3 linked regions of the Schizosaccharomyces pombe genome follow. The gene in region 1 interacts genetically with each later gene. Each region holds a gene or a part of one and is shown in the gene's direction. Other genes may lie near its edges. The genes, in order: sec8, pob1 and its3.

Region 1 (8,183 bases):
TCCGCCGTTGCCGAAGAAAATGAAGAAGTCGACGAGGAACTCCTCAACGTACCGTCCAATAATCAAGGTAAGTCATATAGACGCTTTTCATCAGATGCTGTTTGGGAAGAACCAGAATCTAACGAGTTTCCTCGGGTTTCTGGTACAATGGAGGATTATGATTCAAGGGAGTCAACAGGACATACAATAAAGGAACTACGAAGTACACCGAACTCGCATGGAACTGTACCCGATGACTCTATTTTTGCTATGGACAATGAAGAAAACAGCGAGTTACCTCCACCTCTAGAACCAGCAGAAATTGGAGATCCATTCAGGAGCGTAAATGATCCTAGGCGAGTACTCTCTCTTCCACACATGGCATCCGCCGATGAAGATCACCGGATTCCAGCAAGCGATAATCAAAACAATAATAATAATGATGCTAATGCCCTCGCGGAAAATTCGGAATCTCAACATTCTACCCAGATTGAGAGATATATTGTGATTGAAGACTTAACGAGTGGAATGAAAAGACCTTGTGTGTTGGATGTCAAGATGGGTACTAGACAATACGGAATAATGGCTACGGAGAAAAAGAAAGCCTCACAAACTAAAAAGTGTGCGATGACTACATCTCGAGTTCTTGGTGTCCGAATATGTGGAATGCAAGTTTGGCATCCTTGGCTTCAATCATATACATTTGAAGATAAGTATGTAGGTCGTGATATTAAAGCAGGAGAGGAATTTCAACACGCATTGATGCGTTACTTAGGGAAAACGGATGACGATGAAGACAATAGCCATCTCTTGGTGCATCATATTCCCACGATAATTAGAAAGCTAGAGCAGTTAGAGCAAATTGTTAGGTTTCTTAAAGGATCCCGCTTGTATGCTAGTTCATTACTATTTTTATATGATGGGGAGCCGCCGCCAAGCGACAAATCCAGCAAAGAAAAAGTCAAGCCTCGTGAAATTGACATTCGGATTGTTGATTTTGCCAATTGTGTTTTTGCTGAGGATAAAGAGCTTTTAGCAAAAGCTACATGTCCTCCTCAACACAAAGACACGTATGATCGAGGATACGTACGAGGTTTACGGACTTTGAGGCTATACTTTCTAAAAATATGGAAGGAAGCTAAGGGAATGCAAATTGCGGAACGGGGCTATGAAGACAGTCTCTCTAATGCTTACGATGAACTTGGGGGATTGATGAGTTATTCAAATGATGATGACTCTTGCGGAGAGACGTCTACCTAATAATTCAAATGGTAGCTTTAAAATGTTGCTTGATGCATTTAGTTTCAAAGCACTCTAGAACTTACATTCATCGCTTTGTTGAATATTTCTTGGCAAAAGTGTTTATCGATAGTTTGCGCACTGAGTTGTTCATTGAGCTCGGAAGCTTGAGACCCGCTATTTATTTATATTACTTCAAATTGGCAATCCGTTATATAAAGAAGTCGTTAGTCTTTCATCTTTCTGTTTCGTTAAATTTCTTAATTCAGTGATTGTAACGAAGCTATGACAGTTGGAATCTTCTTGGATTATAAATTTTTTTTCCGCCCCCATTTGTTGTGTTGTTTGTGTTACAAGGATTACTGGTTTTAATACTTGTATCCTTCTAATGCCCTTAATCTCTCTTTTACTTTCTTATCTTTTAAGATTGTCATGTGTTGATTTTTGTAATGGAGAAAATGCATATTGAGATTGCGCATTTTTAACCGTTCTTTCTTTTTTAGTTTTTTTGTTACATCTGCACCCCTTTATTCTGACTTTTATTTTGGTCTTTGGCATTGCTCATATTATTATTCTCTTAATCATCTCATCATACCTTATTTTTTTATTATGGCATAGTTATTTATCAAAGTACTTTTCTGCGAAGTATCTTAATTTGCCTTTTCTTGGATGCTTGATTTTTCTGTTTATATTAGTATTATTTCGTGGTAGTAGTAGCTTAGTTACACCCTTATCATTCTTTTCTTATACAATAGTCCATCACCCCCATTAACTCTGAAACACATACAGAGTTCTTTTGCATGCTCCTTGTCAGTATAAAGTATTAAATCAAGGTGCGCTGTAATAAATAGCAGTGCGTTGGTCCACGTAATTCATATAGTGATTTCTTAGCTCTCCTTTCAAAGATAATACAGTCAATAGACATATCAAGCTAAAACTACTGACTATTTGACTTCCATGGATACCAGAGGCTATTCGGAAACGAAAAAAGGAAGGTATCCAGTGGGAAAGAAAAGCTTGGAATCTCCTAACGGCTACTCAAATTATGGAACTAGCATGGACAATGAATTGAGTTCAGAGTATGCATCGCGTGGAATGCACATAGGCGATTTAGAAAGTAAGGTGAAGCAGCAGGGAGTTTTGATTTAACCTTTATGCTAGATTTAGTAAATGAAATTGAGGATGAATGGAAAGACCTGGGAAGAGAAGACGTATGTTGCGTGAATAAGTGAAGATTGGAGGATGTTTGAATTTACTAACGAATGGTTAAGTATCAACCGATATCTACAGCGTTGGAACTATTAGATGACAGTAGCTTTGGAAGAGATTATAAGTCTTTTCTGAACGTTTACGATCGAATTAGTGCTGCATTACAAACGATTGCCCATACTCATAAAGATGACTTTACTCGAGGTATATCGGCTTATGGAGAAATAATGGAGGGAATTCAGAAGTGCAATTCGAGAATCATAGCATTAAAGCAATCCCTTGAGGCTTCGCAAGAATGCATTGGTAATACTAATAGCAAAGAGCTTCAACAAACATTGGCTCGTAGTTCTCAATACAAAAAAGTCATAAGTGTGCTCAAGGAACTTAATGAAGCCAACCAGCTGTTTGACAACTTTCATACGCTTGTTGATAGCAAGCAATATTATCATGCCAGCGATTTAATACGTCGTGTATGGGATGAATTAAGTCGTTCTGATTTTGACGGAATATTAGTAGTGGAGCAGTTTAAAAGTCGGATGACAGGACTCTTGTCACATTTAGAGGACATTCTATCTGAAGAGTTGGTTTCAATTACTTTCCTTAAAGATGCTGTCGCTTATCCCATAGTATCGTACTGCTCTCCAAATCCGCTGAGGGAAACTTCCAACCCATATTTTTTGAGAGATTTTTTAAAAAACAATGCAAATACATCAACTCTGGGCCAAAGTGAGCAATTGCGTTACCTAGAAGAAGCGCTTTCTTTAAAGTTGTCGGATTGCTTAAAAATGGATTATGGTAGAGACAGTTTACGTGATATACGTATTGTTTTGGAGTCATTGAATTTATTGGGAAAACTCCCCAATGCTATTTCATCTTTAAAGTCTCGTACTTCTGCGGAGATGTTTACTACGGTAGATTCTACTTCACGTGCAATCGTTAACAAATATTCACTCGGTAATAACGTTTCTACCGTTAATCCCTTTTCAAAATCACTTTATGATATAGGTTTGCACGCTGAGACTGATAGAGAGCATACTATGATTTCCGAGTTCTTGACGAACTTATTTACAAAATTAAGGTGTGTTTTAATGCATTATCGCGGTATCTCCGAATTCATGACCAAATTAGAGACTAAAACACCAAAGCATGCTTCATCTTCTCACAAATCTAGCATTATGTCTGTTAACTCGGACCCCACAAGCCCAAAGGTATCAAAATTTGATACTTCTGATAGCACGTTTCCATTTGATACGTTGCTGCAAGCATTCGAGAGCGAAATTAGGTTAATGTTAAAAGATTATCTTATTTCCAAAGAAGAGTATATTGAAAATAGTGGAAATTTCGTTGTTGGAACTGAGATGTCCATATACAACCTCCCTGGCGAAAATGAAGAAGATAAACTTTTCGACGTAACAAACGAAATTGCTGTGGAGAACAAAAGTAATGCGTTTTATGCCAGAATAAATGAGTTGGTTAACGAAAAGGCTCCAGAGCTTATTCTTAATAAATCAAATGCTTCAGTTTCCACTATTGAACTATTTTCTGGAAGTTCGAAAGAAATTGTACGTTTGGCTGGCCACGTTGTATTTGTTGGGCCTTCGGTTTTTCATGCTTCGTCTGTCCTACCTCAAACCGTATTCTTTTTGGAAGACAGTGTGTCTATTTTGAAAAAGTACGTCAATTAAGTTGAGTTTGGATTATTTTGCTAACAAAAATTTAGCCCAAATATACCTCCTCAGTTTGCTGTTAATTTTATGAAAGAATTTTTAAGGGGAAGTTACATTCCACAATTATACAAGTTTATGTCGAGTCACTTTGACACCATAATGAAAGACGTGGGTGCGTTCCAATTGCACAGAGATTGGAAGATATACTCTAAAATCCCAATTTTTAAGGTATAGTCTCATTAAGAAGCTACGATTAACGTTAATTTTAGTGCCATGTGGCTATTGTTCAATATTTTCACGATCTTCAAGATTATTTGCCTATTGTTGCATTAAATTTGGTAGAATTTTATGAATTATTACATACTTTGCTTGTTCGTTTTCGCAACCATTGTTCTGATTATCTCTCTGGTATGTTTCATTTCCATTTTTTCACTGTTTCCCCAGCTTACCCTTTATAGATTTGTGCAGAACGGCTGTTCTCAAAGAATACAAACATGTCAACGAGGATACTGAAGATGTCGATGATACTGTTCGAGTAAAGCTACTTCACGACGATGTAACGTACCCTCAATTTATTAAATTCCTCAAGCAAAAAAATCCATCACTTGAAGGGTTAAATGAGCTTTGTCGAATGGAGAATAAGCGTTTATTACAATATGAAGATCGTGCGATTACGTCCGAAGTTAAACTTCCGGTATCGGTTTTATCCAAAGATTCCGACCTAGTGAACTCGGTTTCTTATCTTCATAACTCCATGGAATGGTTTCTTCAGCGCTGTTTTTCAAGATTTATGAACGGTTCGCGAAGAATGAACGTTTTGCAACAAAACCAAGCTAATTTCGGTGGTGACTTTTTACCAATTGATAATTTGTTGGGTAATAATTCGGATTTAATGAAGGGGTATGTTACTGTATGTATTGAACTTTATACTGATTTTTATAAAAGTGCATATAAAGAAGTCTTTGATTCTTTACAGAGGCTCCAATTCGATGCTTTACTGCTAATCCGAATGGAAGTTCGGTTACAGTACATTCATAGTATTAATCAAAGTGTAAACCTTCCTGACTATGTTGTCGAGTACCGCGGAAGACCAGATGCTTCGATAATGGCTCTCAACTCTACTATTGTGACGACGAATTTGAAACTCGAAACCTGTTTGAATGAATGGGAACGAAGGTAAATAACAAATGAATTCCTTATATTGATTTGCTAACTTTTTATAGGTTTGTATTCCAAGGTCTGAGTGAACTGGTTGATTCATCGCTATACTCTATCTTTTACAAAATAGAATCAATGAATAGAGGCAGCTGTCTTCAGATGCTGAAAAATATGTCAGCAATGATTCAGATTCTTAAGACGGTTAAGGAAATTCATGGCGACGTTGAATTTCCTAAATCTTCTAGAGTCTTTGGAATATACCAAAATGGTGCCAAGAAAATTATCGAGCACTTCATTGCTGCCCCCAAAAAGGAACTTTTGCCTGACGTTAAACAGATGGTCCGAATTTATTACCAGCGATTAATGAAAGATGCAAAAAGAAACGGAAGGGACGATCTTTATCGGCAGTATCAGAAAAAGATTGGCTCGGTTTTAACTCAGTTCGACAACACTGTGGGTGGTGCGAGAAAAAATCCTTAACCGTATAATATAGAATTTTAATTATAATGACGAGTAATGATTTTATAATAATAAATTTATTAACTAAAAACATAGATGCATTGGATAGTTTAAAAACTACGTGACCTAGTTTCAAAGATTATATTAAGGAAAATGATTTGTTATATATACAGCGTTTTCCTGAAAGACATAATTTACACAAATAAAACATATTCTTCAAAGATGTATCGGAATAACATCAGAAGCACCAAATCCACGACCGCAAATCGGGCATCTGCGTTGCCGTGTTTCAATCCGTTTTTGTATGCATTGGTAACAAAAGCCATGACCACAGAGAGAAATAATTCGATCTTTCCAGCGCTCGAAGTTACAAACTGAACACTTACACATGGCCCTAAAAGTTTTTAACTCTTCAGCTGACGTTGATACCCCAGTATCCTTTAACTTTCGCTTCTCTTTTTCATGCTCTTCATCTTGCTTGGAAAGTATATCTATAGAAGATGATAAATCTGAGCATTGAAATTCAAGGTCTGTTAATGTAGCATTATTTTTATCCATAAATTGCTGTAAATAAGACACCTTTTCTTCCAGGTTTTGAATAGTTGATTTTTGAGATGACTTTTTGACTTGAAACGTTGTTGATTGTTTTATAGAGTTATTTCGAACCGATGATAGACGGGCTAGCTGATCTTCAAACTCTATTATTCTATGGACAGCAGTGTCTTGGCTATTTAACATTTTTGAGATAATTTCGTTGGTCTTCTGGTACTTCTGGCGCAGTAACTTTACTTCAGCATGAAGACTATCTGTAGACTTCATGGTCAGAAAATATTTTTGCTCCGCCTTTTCCTTTTCGACACTAAATTTGGTTATCAATTCTTGATAATGGGAGTGGCTACTTTTCACAGTTTGCTGTTTTACCAACCTAAATGCTTTTTCAGTAGAAGCCAACTCTTTAGAAAGGTAAGTTGACAGATCTTTTTGTAACTCCAAATCGTTAAGGTCTACGAGCCGGATTTTGTTTGCAGCTTCACGGGTAGCCACCGCTTTTTTCTTTTCCAATACCATTGTCTCTAAATTCGCAAGTTCATCTAACTTGTCTTTGTAGACCTTCTCTTTTTGCTTTTTAGCTTCCAACTTCTTTTCAAGGGATAAGCTTAATTCAGTCTTTGCGTTATTAATTCTTTTTTCATCGTTTTGCATAACAGATATTTGATGATCAAGATCGTTTATTAACGGCTGATAGGAAGATTCAAAAACACCGTTAAAATTCTTTGACTGTTGCGACAATACATTTATTTCGTGAGAACATTCGGACAATAAGTGCTCTAATACGCGTAACTGCTCAGATGTCATAGAAACAGCTTCTTTAAGTGCTAAAAAGGAAGAGTATTTTTTCAAGTTTGTAGTTTCGACGTTGTTTAATGCGTTTTCTCGTTCCATAATTAATTTATCCATTTCATTAACGTTCGAATCCAAAATTTTAAGGCTTTGTGAGCGAGACTCCATTAAACCATTTTGTTGGTCTTGAAGCCTGGATAATTGTTGCAGTTGAGTACGTTGTTCAACCGTGCTAACTTTCTTTTCTTCATCTTTCCCCTTAGAGGAGGTGGTTGCTTCCTCTTTCACTTTAGTAGACTGGGGTCTCACTGATTCATTAATGCATTGCAAAGTAAAACTAGACGAGCGATCTGGTAGTTTTATAATTGAATGAAGCTGAGACCGAGTGGTATCCAATTCATCTAAAATCTTGTCAATATCCAAATTAATGGTGTTTAATTTCTCAGTAAGGGCAGAGTCATCAATTGATAAAACTGAAAAAGGATCTCTGGAGACCGAATTTGTGCTTGAGTCAACAGTAGACAAGAGTTTTTGAATGATGCTCAAGGCTTTAGTTTTATTATTTTTCACAGCGTCATTGAAGTATGAAAGCTCCGGGAATTTCTCCAAAATCGAAAAAACACCTTCACTCTCGAAGTCCTTCAGCTCATTGCCTTGAAACACAACGCTAAACTGCTGAAGTATTTCAGGCCACCAAGAGACCAAAGTAGCTAAAACTTTTAATTTCTCTTCTGCTAAATTTTGAAGTCCCTCTATTTTACTTTCTAACTCATCAAATTGAATGCTCCTCACTCTTACATCCTTTAATAAGTCTTCTTTAGAGACTTCCTTTAACAGAGTTAGCGACATGTCTTAACATTCGAATGCCTAAAGGCTCAACACGTTAACATACCTGAATATCATCATCTTGTATTTCTACATCTTCAAGTTCTCTTTTCTGGCCTAAGATTGTGGGGGCATCTGGTTTACCATTCTGATACATTCTCGAAAGTCGTATACATCAACCTATCAATATAAATTTCCTTTTTTTCAGAACAATTTGTTTTTTAACGAAAAAAGAAAACAGCCAAAACCTAAAAGACAGACTGTATTTTTCTTATACTAAACGTAATAACGCGTAATGAATAAGCA
Region 2 (5,924 bases), on another chromosome or scaffold:
CGCCGTAACAGCATTATTAGATGCACTTGTTAAATTCAGTGCTGCTCGAACGTACTATCATGTAATATTGTAAGATTCAAATGGTTTCTGCTATCTGTTTACTTACAGTTCTTGATCATATGCCTAAAAATGTAAAACAATACCGAATTTACTTATTAAGTTCCAGTTCACCTGAGCAAACAACGGCGCGTTGCCCAACAATTATAACCGAGGATAGTAAGAATCTGATTTTATTATATAGTATCCAAATTTAGGAGCAAACATTATTTCAATCAAAACATCGCATCTTACCATATCGTTAGCGAGTTTAAGAAGATACGGAATTAGTGGATAGCAGAGTAGATAGAGTACGTTACGGAGATCGAGTAGTTTATCAAACCAGTATTACTTCTTCGACCATAGACCCTTCCTCAAGTACGATTAAATTTACAGACATAATGGTAATTTGTATTTTTATTATAAGGAGCAATTTCTGACTTCTTTTTAGAGTGCTCAAACGAATTCTGGTATCCAACAACTTTTAGAGGTAAGTTCAGGTAATTCCAAGATCGTTATTTCTAATGAGATATGTAGGCTGAAAAAGTTGCTAGAAATATAGTCGAAAAGGCTCGCCAACGTAAGTTTAATCAATCGGAGCAACGTTTCTAAAAGATAAAAAGATCGCACTCAAAGATTGAAGGATGCACGTCTTGAGGCTAAACGCGAAATTGATGAATACGCTTCCAAGAAGGAAGAGGAATTCAAAAAGTCAGAAAGTCAGGTAAAGTTATTCAATACAGTTTTTAAGAGTTTGGACAATCAATTTTAACATATCAGGCTTCTGGTATATATAGTCAGGCTGAAGCGGAGAGCAAAAAGCAAGTCCAGGACACATTTGCAAGTATCGAGACAAGCTCCCAGAAGAACTCTGATAAAGTGGTTGATGCTATTTTATCTATAACTTGCAATGTTAAGTAAACTTACTGTTTATTACTAAATTTTTATATACACATTCTTACTATCCTCTGAAGGGAAAACTGTATTTGCAATTTTTAGCAATAAATCACTTTAACGGTAATCATCTAATATTCCCATACATGTATGAAATATTTGCAATTATTAGATCGTAAAGGGTATAGAATTCTGTCTGCGAGGGATGCTGTTAAATAATCATGCATTCAGATAGCTAATGATTCTTATTAAGCAAAATCATATAGTGGACTGTTGATATCCCAGGAATATGGTCAAATACGAGTTTAGCTCATTTTTTATTTTAGTATTGTGAAATATTAGCGAAGTTATCCAATAATTACCTTCAACCGTAGACGGACCTTGTATAAATAATAAGTTACCTGGTTAATACTCGATCGCATTTCCATAATACCTTTGTGGTAGATCAAGTCAATCGACCTCATTACACACGTGAATAAATAAATTAGATACATGTATTATAGTAACTATGCAATTGTCACCCTCATCGTTATACTAAGCGTATTTCAATGGAAACGTAAGCATAATCACAATTCTTAGTTCTTTGGTCCTTCATTTATTCGTTAATATACGAAGATGAGACATTCTATCCTTTGCCTTCAAACGTACCGACATGTATATTAGAAGAAATAAATAAAACACCTATTCAACACCTAATACTACTATTACCCCCACGTAAGTACTGGTTAAACCATGACTAGGTCAAAACACATTCTGCAACACTCTCCTAATGTAATATAACAGACTTGCAGATTTCAAAAAGCAAAGCCCCCACGAAGGTCGTCTTTCCCCACATAGATTATTATCGTTAAAGTGGGCTAAGCCAAACACGGTAAACACTGTTTTGCCAGCCATCAAGATTTAAGCCTTCGATTACAACACCGCATAACCACATAGCTGTGTTTTTTCTGCTTTTACCACAACTATGGCAAGTCAGCGGTTCGTGATTGCTTTGCATTCCTTTCCGGGGAAGAGTAGTGATGAACTTCCGTTGGTTGAAGGTCGGAAGTATCTGTTGATAAAGATGGATGAAGAATTTGGTGATGGTTGGTGGGAAGTAAGTATATAACTTCGAAGTCAAAATCCTATTATTTTTATTCCTGGTATATTTTATAATTTGAAGGATTCTTGATGCCTGCTTTGTACAGTTTTCCAATCCACATAAAGATGCAAACACTATATGTCAAAGTTGCATGCCCTTAGGATTGTGAAACCTTGATATATTTTTATCATACTAACTAAGTTTTAATAGGGAGAAGATGAACAGGGAAATAGGGGTATTTTTCCTGCTTCGCACGTAGAATTGATATCTGATGAGAGGTCTGACTCAAGTGATTCAAGAAGAGGCAAAGAAGATTTCTCCATTTCTACCGCGGAAGTCACAAGATCCTCTTTATCAAGCAGCCGGTCAACTTCTTCACGATCGGACAAGGACAGTGAAAAGTTGTATTCGAATAATTCCTTGTCTTCAAGTCACTCATCAATCTTAAACGGCCCCCTTGATAGTCTTTCGAAACCTTCGGTCCCTAGTAATTTTAACTCAATGTTTCCATCTTCTAAACAAGAAGGCCCTTCCCCTTTGTTGGATAACCAACCTTCCTCAGATCTATCAAACTTCAACACTATTGATGCCGATTATAATAATGCTTCTGCTTCTACTTCTGCTCCTGCTACTTCAGCAAGCTTGAAAAAGGTTTTGTCAGCTGAGGATTCCGTTAGAGAAACTATTACAGATATTGAAACAGCTTTACAGAATATGTCAACTTCAGCATCTCGTACTCCAAATGACAGTTCACCTTTGCCCTATATTGAAAATCGACCTGCATCCTCTCTTGCTGTTTCCGAAAAAATTCAAAATGTTCCTAACTGGTCTACGGAAGAGGTAGTTGAATGGCTTATGAATGCCGGCCTTGGATCAGTAGCTCCTAATTTTGCGGAGAATGAAATAACCGGTGAAATTTTATTAGGCTTAGATTCCAATGTTTTGAAAGAACTTAACATTACTTCTTTTGGAAAACGTTTTGAAGTTTTACGAAAGATCCAACAATTAAAAGATTCATACGAACAATCTTTATATGAAGAATATCCGCAGTTTGCTGAGCCTATTTCTGTTAGCCAAAGTTCTGATTCCTCCTCTTCTATTCCAAAAAAATCTAATGATGAAGCCGGCGGTTCACCATCAAAATCCAGTCCAACTCGTCCGGGATTTAACGATTATGTTAATCGTCCGACTAGTGTGATGCCTTCTTTGTCAAATATGATTGTTTCACCTGATTTGGACTCATCTCCATCTACCGATTGGAACCAATACGTGATTCCTCCTTTAGCCACACCAAGTTCGCGCAATTCTAAGTCTACGCAATCTGCGGTCCCTGAAAATGTATCTCGTTTTGATTCTAACGAACCTTCGGCCACATCACCGATATTAAAACGTTCATCCCCTACGGACTCAATTTCTCAAAATAGCGGTTTACCTTCTCGTCTTACTGAGCCCATCTCTTCTCCTTCTACCAGTAGCATTGATGTTGATAAGGAAGGAACTTCATTTCCTGGTTTACCTTATCATTCATCTAAGGGCAACTTGTATGCTCCTCAACCATCTTCTAACGTTCCTACTAAATTTACGGGCGGTGCATCGGAATCTTCTTCCGTACCTCCTAGACCTATTCCAAGTGCTATGAAAGGAAAAGCACCAGCTTCAGCTATATCTATCGAAGCTTTGGAAGAATTGGATCCTCCAAAGATTACTACTATTGATGGTGAAAGTCCTTCATCGATAAGTTCTCGACTCCCTAGTAGCAATCTCGAACAAGGGAGTTCAAGTTCTGTTACTAAGTCACCTGAATCAATGCCAGACCCATCAGCAAAAGCATCATCGCCTGTCACAAGCAAAGGGGTGTCCATAAACGAAAAATCCGCTGTTAATAATTATGCCACTCCTCTTTCAAAACCTCAACCCAAAGATACGAAGGGCTCAAAATTAGGAAATACTTTTGTTGCTCCATCTCCGGCTGCTTCCTTACCCGCTTCACCTCCAGTCGGCACTGAGTTAAAGACTCGTCCAACCCTTCGTTCTGTTGCTTCATCACCATTAAATAAAGAGCCAATAGGTAAACGAAAGTCGAAACGTGATATTTTTGGGAGACAAAAGGTTTTACCTACTGGAATTAGTGAAGGATTAAGTAATATACCTGCCAAAGAAGCAATTAAAACGGCGGACTGTCATGGTTGGATGCGGAAACGTAGTGATCGTTACGGTGTTTGGAAGTCTAGATACTTTGTATTAAAAGGAACAAGGCTTTCTTATTACCATTCATTAAATGATGCTTCAGAAAAAGGCCTAATTGATATGACTTCTCATCGTGTTACGAAAACCGATGACATTGTTCTAAGTGGAGGCAAAACTGCTATCAAGTTAATTCCACCTGCTCCAGGTGCCGCTAAAGCAGCAGTTATGTTCACTCCACCAAAGGTTCATTATTTTACTTGTGAAAATAATGAAGAATTACATCGTTGGTCTTCGGCTTTTCTCAAGGCTACTGTGGAACGCGATATGTCGGTACCTGTTTTGACAACGTCGAGAATGCCTACCATTTCACTTAGCAAAGCTAAAGAACTTCGTACTAGGCCTCCTTCTCTATTAATTGATGATGAAAATGAAGCAAATCTCACTTCTTCGATTGGATTAAAGAAGAATGCAAAACAAAAGAATAAGAAATCAAGCAAGCAAAAATAAATACCGACACTCCTCAAAATCCACAAAAGCAAAGTGCAACACATTCCAATTCTAAAACCTGCGCAACAGACCCTGTTCTTAGTATCTGGTTTTCCTTAATCTATTTTCAAACTAAATATCCCTTCAAAATTGAAAACATAGCTAATATGTTTGAATTTTAAATTCGTTGATGCTTTTACTGCGGACATATTTGACACCAATTTAAGAATTAACCGGGCATATTTGATACGCTCATTTCGATTCTGGTTTACCGACATTTACTAGCGGAAGCTATAGTATCTTCATCATGCACATATGGCTTATTTAACGTTGAATTATTTGCTTTTATCTTTTATTGCATAAATTTTTAAAAGCAAATGCATCATTCTATTAATTCAGCATTTTTTTACTGATAATTTTCATTTGTTTGTCGACTTCCTACCACTTTCGTTTGTTTTATTTTTAATCTTTATTTCGATCATTTCGATCCAGCTGAGTCCACGCTGGTAGCGGACCTGGATCATTGCAGAATTCGTAGGCCTTTTACTAGTGATACTAATATAGCTAATGAAAATTTAGAATGTTTGTTTTCTATGTATGGGCATTCCTGGCATTCCTTGGATTAGCAAATACGTTTTCTTGGCTGCGGTTTTTTATCTTTACATGCAATCAAAACCGTGTAGTGACGTCCAAAAAGTAAGCATTGGCTGCTTGTAAGTTGTGTATAAACCCAGAATGTATAAGCAAGTACGCACAAATGTAGCTTTTCGTAGAAGCAATTCTTTTTTGAAATTTCAAAAACGACACTATATCCATTTTTTGGCGATCAACTTCAATAAGAGCAATAGTCAAACTCGTTAAACAATTCGTTAAATCGGCATTAAAAAACTATACCATACACTCCCTTTTCTGTTAAATTCCAATCGACTATCAGGGTTAGGGTTTTGTTATACCCAGGTCTTTTATTCATATAAAAATTACGCACCACTAAAATTTTCCTTTAACCAAACTCTCAGTTAGTTTAGGTGCAACAGAGAAAAGTTTAGTATGGCTCAACCACAAAACGTTCCTACCTTTAAGCTTGTACTTGTCGGCGATGGTGGTACCGGTAAGACCACGTTCGTCAAGCGTCATTTGACTGGTGAATTTGAAAAGAAGTATATTGCAACTTTGGTACGTTTTATGATTTTACTTTATTAGAACAGTTTTTGTATACCGGAAACGATGCCTAGTATCGTAA
Region 3 (5,235 bases), on another chromosome or scaffold:
ATTTCAAAGCTTCATTGTTTAGAGTTTCTTTATTAAGTAAAAGTTCATTAGTGTATTTAACAAGGCCATCTTCCCTCATACAATTTTGGCGTTCCAGTTCTATATTCTCTAGCCTCTCTAAAGCATTGCTAATAAGAGAATATTCCCAAAGAATTTGTTGACTATCCGGCTGAGTTTGGGTAATCGGAAGGTTTTGAAATGAAGAAGGGTCAAGCGAAAGATTGAAGCAATACTCAATGAATGCGATATCCATGAATATCGGCATTTTTTCATGACACATTGATTTCGAATAACCCAAATATCGTAAGCAGGCTAATTGGTTAATGATTTTCAAGATTGGCTTTCATACCGTTCACAATGGAAGATTCTTCTCTCTGCATATCATAATGATTTTCCTTGATGAAAAACGTTTCTAGTGTATTCAGCACAGATTGTGAACGAATCTTCTCATTCATTTTATGGAAAAAACTAATCTATACACGAAGGATAAAAGTATAAAAAGTTGGTAAAGTCAATGTAAGTTGGTCTACGAGATAAAATGAATACCATTCCGTAAGAGAAAATAAATCATTTAATAAAGAAATCTAAAAACGAATGGATCGAATAGCTTTGTCTACTGTTATGTTTCTTGGAACATCGTACAGAAGACGAATTTAACTCCTTAAAGAAGTGTATTTTGTTTAATGTTATAAATTATTCCCTTAAACAGTGAACTGCTTTATCCAAAAAAGCGGTAAGCAAAATTTCCAAATGAAAAAAGTATTTGAATGGAAGATCGACTTTGGCGTGACAAAAGAATAAATTTTACTCTCCATTTTAAGTCCTTCATTTTCATAACGCTATGCCAATTACCTTGGATCACGGTGGTGTTTGTGCCTTAAGACATGAAAAGCTTACGAAATAAACATGCTTTAGGCGATTGATCATTTCTTCCAAGATATTTTTCCTTATTCAATCTCAAAAATTACTCTAATTTGTTATTTGCTAGAACTAAATGATCCATCTGATTGAATGTTTTTACTACCCAAGCCTCTTAAGATTCTATCCGAAGTTCTTTATTTACTTGTGCACAAAACCCGAAGGAATGGGAAAAGCAATTATCTATCTAGTAAGACAAAAAACATTAGATACTGTCCTTTGATTATAATTTCAATGGATTCTTAAAGTTGAATATTCAGTGCTAGCTTCTTTATATTATAGACATTCAAAGTAAACTTGAGAACGAAGAAAAGGAATATTGGATATTTCCTTTTTCTTTTTGTTAAATATATATATATATATATATTTTTGGAAAATAAAAATAAATTGATATGTTTGAAATAAACGAAGTATACGTTATGTGTATCTTACTTTAATTTTTTTTAACTTTATTTTATTATTTATTTTTTTTTTAAGGAAATTTCAAATCTTTAGATTTTCAAAATAGCTCAATCATTTGCTGTACTTATCCATGCAAGCTTAATCATTATAAATTGATTAATAGAGGTTCTAAAAAGTAAGCCTTTATAAAATTGGATTTACAGCATCCAGCTCTTCACGCAACACACCCATATCGATGCTTTTGTTTACGTTGAGCAGATTCGTTTTGTTTACATTCAACGAAATCGACGTTGTCAACGACTTCAAACATCGCAAGCTTATGGACTATTCGCAATAATGGAACTGGGTTTCAGAAGTTTTTGGCTTGGTAAATTCGGGATTGCTCCTTTCCCATACAGAAAGCGATAATTTTATCCATTTACTGCCATTAGTGCGAATTATTGGAGAATGTGCCGGACAATTCGGTGAACTCCGGTGACTTTATATATCTAGGGAAGAAACTGGTAGAAACAACACTTCGCTGGTATCAAGTGTTTTGCGGTGAAAGAGTTGATAAAAAAGAGAATTAAGCTGCTCTTTTCGGTAAATTAAAACATTTTGAATAACTTGGGAAAAAACTTGCTTTTGTAGGAACTGAAAAACGACGAAATTGACGTCTTCAAATTGTTTGTTAAAAAACGGAATCAAAAATTGTGTTTGGAGTCCATTGGCGAGTAAATTTTTAACTCTTCATATATGTTTGTAGGAAACACTAATGAAAATTGATTCAAACGGCATAGTGAATCCGCATTCTATAACGAACGAAATCCCTTCGTATGATGAAAAGCAGGCTGTCGATTTGAATGGGAATGCTTTTGCTCCAAATGGTACGTTTCAAAAAAAGGATTTGATATCCCATAAAAACGATTTCGAACGTACGATGCGCCACGATGTTCTTCATACCAACCCCAAAATCGAAGTTCGGTCGGAGACCCATATTTATGAACCTAACGATTCATTATTTAAGGAAAATCAAGATTTCCCCTCAAATCCCACTGCCCACTCTCCTTCTTCCTCTTCTAACGATTCGGTAATTACGGCTACTGGCGTACCTGATGGTATCTTGAGAGATTCTCCCATCGTAAGTGCCCTCGAGCCTCCTTCCTCCAATTCTTCCTCTTCTCCCCAATTACAAAATTTAAAGCATCAATTATCCTCTCCTCAACCTTCTCGCGCCCCCATAGATCGCTCTTCCTCCAACCCTGTAACCTCATCTCAGCAGCCACCTAATGATCGTTCCACGCTCAGCTCCTCGCAGAAGGCGAAGCGGCCGCTAAAGCGATCTTACTCCGAAAAAAATTCTAGCAACGCTGAACCTTCTGGCTCGAGATCCGGCGACCGAGGTACCAACGTCAGTACCTCGGGTTCTCTTTTGGATGGCATTCCCCCCGATATTGGCTCTGCTAGCTGGGCTGAAGCAGTCAAACAAAAACGTGTTAACATGCGCCGTCGCAGGGAAGAACTGGACGATGAGTGCGTTCTCGTTGGAACTAGAGTTTCAGAGGGCCATGAAAACTATGTTACAGCGTACAACATGCTTACTGGAATTCGCGTCGGTGTTTCTCGTTGCCAAGCGAAAATGGACCGTGAGCTTACTCCTGCTGATTTTACTGCTCGTCACAAGTTTACCTTTGACATTACTGGCAACGAACTCACTCCCTCCGCCAAGTATGATTTTAAGTTCAAAGATTATGCACCTTGGGTATTTAGACATCTAAGGCAGCTGTTTCATTTAGATGCTGCAGATTATCTTGTATCTCTTACCAGTAAGTACATTTTGTCTGAGTTAGATTCTCCTGGGAAAAGTGGTTCTTTTTTTTATTTTTCTCGTGACTATCGATTCATTATTAAAACAATCCATCACTCTGAGCACAAATTTTTGCGTGAAATTCTTTATGATTACTACGAACACGTCAAGAATAATCCGAACACATTGATTTCGCAATTTTATGGGTTGCATAGGGTAAAATTACCCTTTGGCCGAAAAATCCATTTTGTTGTAATGAACAACCTTTTCCCACCTCATCGTGATATCCACCAAACTTTTGATCTCAAAGGATCCACCCTAGGAAGGGAACTCGACGAAAATCAACCTTGTCAAAGTCCCATGTGTACAATGAAAGATACAAATTGGATTCGCAGAAATATGCATCTTCAGTTTGGTCCTTTAAAGCGTCAGATATTCTTAACTCAGGTCAAAGCCGATATTGATATGCTGTCCTCTTTAGGAATTATGGATTACAGTTTACTTGTCGGCATCCATGACCTTTCACGTGGTAATCGTGACAAAATTCGTAATAGCATTCTGTCAGTTTACGACCCAAATGTGTCGCAACATCGAGTGCCCTCGATTAATGGCAATGAATCTCACTCAAACGTTCATGTAATCAGACAAGTCGTTAATAGCACCGGTCCTGTTTCGTTGGATCAATCTTGTAATCTATTGCCGACCGACCAGTTCGTTGAGTAAGTGCTTATTATTTTTTTAACAATTAGACTATTTTTTAACACTATTTTAGGAGAAGAAACTTCATGTTCTACAGTGATGACGGTGGATTCCAAGCCACCGATGAAAACAATGAGCCAGGAAACTTTATCTTTTATATCGGAATAATTGACTTACTTACTAAGGTATGATAAATTGCGTAAATTTTTTTATGGGAATGCAAAGTCTTTTACTTGTTTTCCTTGTTTGCTTTTATTTTCATTATACTTACCGGTGTTTAGTATTCATATGTTAAGCGCGTTGAGCATTTATGGAAGGGCATTAATCATTCAGATTCTGTCATTTCTGCTGTTCCACCTGCTGAATACGCTTCACGCTTCTACAAATTTGTAGAGTCAAGTATTAAGCCAACTCTTTTAGTTTTGAAACCATTCCCCTTAAAACCGCAGGATGGCCAGCGTGTTAACAAACAGCAAAGCGTTAATGCTGGCAATGTGCGCACTAATAACAAGCATGGTTCTCTTAATAATAATACAGCTCCTTCTTCTCGCAATGCTAAAAGCACTTCTGCTCATAAATCACCCAAAACAGAACACCGATTTCCATTCCCATGCCGCAATGTTACTACGAACACTTCTTCATCTTAATAAATTTTAATGTCTTTGAAGTGCACATATTTCAAGTTTAATGCATTTATTTATAATGCTTTACCACCTTTTTATTCTTGTATATATTGGCTAATTTATCTTTTTATTTTAGAGAAAAAACAAAGCAAAGCATGTATGCCGAAGTGCATTAACGGATGCACAACCTATAACTTATTGCTCTAATTAGCGCTTTTATTATTTACATCTCAAATAACTTATGTTCGTCAGTTCCTCACCAATCTTTGTCAAAAAGCTATATTATTATGATATAACTTAAAATTCATTAGGAAGAAAGTATGCTTTTGTAACGAGTAAACGTATGTACTTAGAAAAGAGCGATTCATAGTAGTGGAAGTAGTTCAATTACGAAGACCTCTCAACTAAACATAAATAACTAGAGCATAAATTAATTTAAAGGCTGAACTAAGATCCAGGATTGTGTGTCTCAATAAATAAATCTTTGTAAAGAACAAGATGAATCGGGCATCTTCGTTGAAATAGTTAGTTTGTCATTCAGTTAGTAAAATTTGCCAAATCAGCAAGGATATCAATAACATTTGCAGGGTCTGCGATACACCAGTCGGCGATAGAAAGCTTTTTGTCGGATCCAATGGTAACTGCAAATGAAGTTTCCTTGTTAATACGAGTGTTTTTATGCAAAGAGCGGAACATATCTTCATCAGTTCTATCATCACCTGCACAAAAGATAAAAGAAGGAAGTGAATCTTCTGGATACGAACTTAAAATCTGTTTGACAATTCCTCCTTTGTTGATACTGGAAGG

The links.
Region 2: mutations in sec8 (region 1) and pob1 impair growth when combined (synthetic growth defect), as found in Schizosaccharomyces pombe (one study listed by BioGRID).
Region 3: mutations in sec8 (region 1) and its3 are lethal when combined (synthetic lethality), as found in Schizosaccharomyces pombe (one study listed by BioGRID).

The regions. Positions count from the first base shown.
Region 1 is NC_003421.2:489,919-498,101, reverse strand, and holds sec8 (exocyst complex subunit Exo4), read left to right. Parts: upstream 1-2,168; 5' UTR 2,169-2,175; coding exon 2,176-2,335; exon of another isoform or gene 2,336-2,379; coding exon 2,380-2,429; exon of another isoform or gene 2,430-2,489; coding exon 2,490-4,099; exon of another isoform or gene 4,100-4,116; intron 4,117-4,147; coding exon 4,148-4,322; intron 4,323-4,363; coding exon 4,364-4,502; intron 4,503-4,552; coding exon 4,553-4,994; exon of another isoform or gene 4,995-5,039; coding exon 5,040-5,270; exon of another isoform or gene 5,271-5,317; coding exon 5,318-5,732; 3' UTR 5,733-5,927; coding exon of another isoform or gene 5,928-7,880; 3' UTR 7,881-7,944; coding exon of another isoform or gene 7,945-8,034; 3' UTR 8,035-8,086; downstream 8,087-8,183. Other genes in the region: kcs1 (inositol polyphosphate kinase), read left to right, coding at 1-1,239; histone H2B-K119 ubiquitin ligase complex (HULC) subunit, ubiquitin-protein ligase E3 Brl2, read right to left, coding at 5,928-7,880, 7,945-8,034.
Region 2 is NC_003423.3:4,387,124-4,393,047, reverse strand, and holds pob1 (Boi family protein), read left to right. Parts: upstream 1-1,885; 5' UTR 1,886-1,894; coding exon 1,895-2,026; intron 2,027-2,221; coding exon 2,222-4,705; 3' UTR 4,706-5,252; downstream 5,253-5,924. Other genes in the region: vma10 (V-type ATPase V1 domain subunit G), read left to right, coding at 438-440, 488-526, 574-616, 660-760, 817-957; Ran GTPase Spi1, read left to right, coding at 5,732-5,857. UniProt on the Schizosaccharomyces pombe protein: Has a role in cell elongation and separation.
Region 3 is NC_003424.3:4,070,302-4,075,536, forward strand, and holds its3 (1-phosphatidylinositol-4-phosphate 5-kinase Its3), read left to right. Parts: upstream 1-1,834; 5' UTR 1,835-2,074; coding exon 2,075-3,825; exon of another isoform or gene 3,826-3,878; coding exon 3,879-3,990; exon of another isoform or gene 3,991-3,993; intron 3,994-4,086; coding exon 4,087-4,452; 3' UTR 4,453-4,735; downstream 4,736-5,235. Other genes in the region: protein Poz1, read right to left, coding at 1-312, 350-455; trehalose-6-phosphate phosphatase Tpp1, read right to left, coding at 4,966-5,235. UniProt on the Schizosaccharomyces pombe protein: Catalyzes the phosphorylation of phosphatidylinositol 4-phosphate on the fifth hydroxyl of the myo-inositol ring, to form phosphatidylinositol 4,5-bisphosphate. Involved, together with the calcineurin ppb1, in cytokinesis.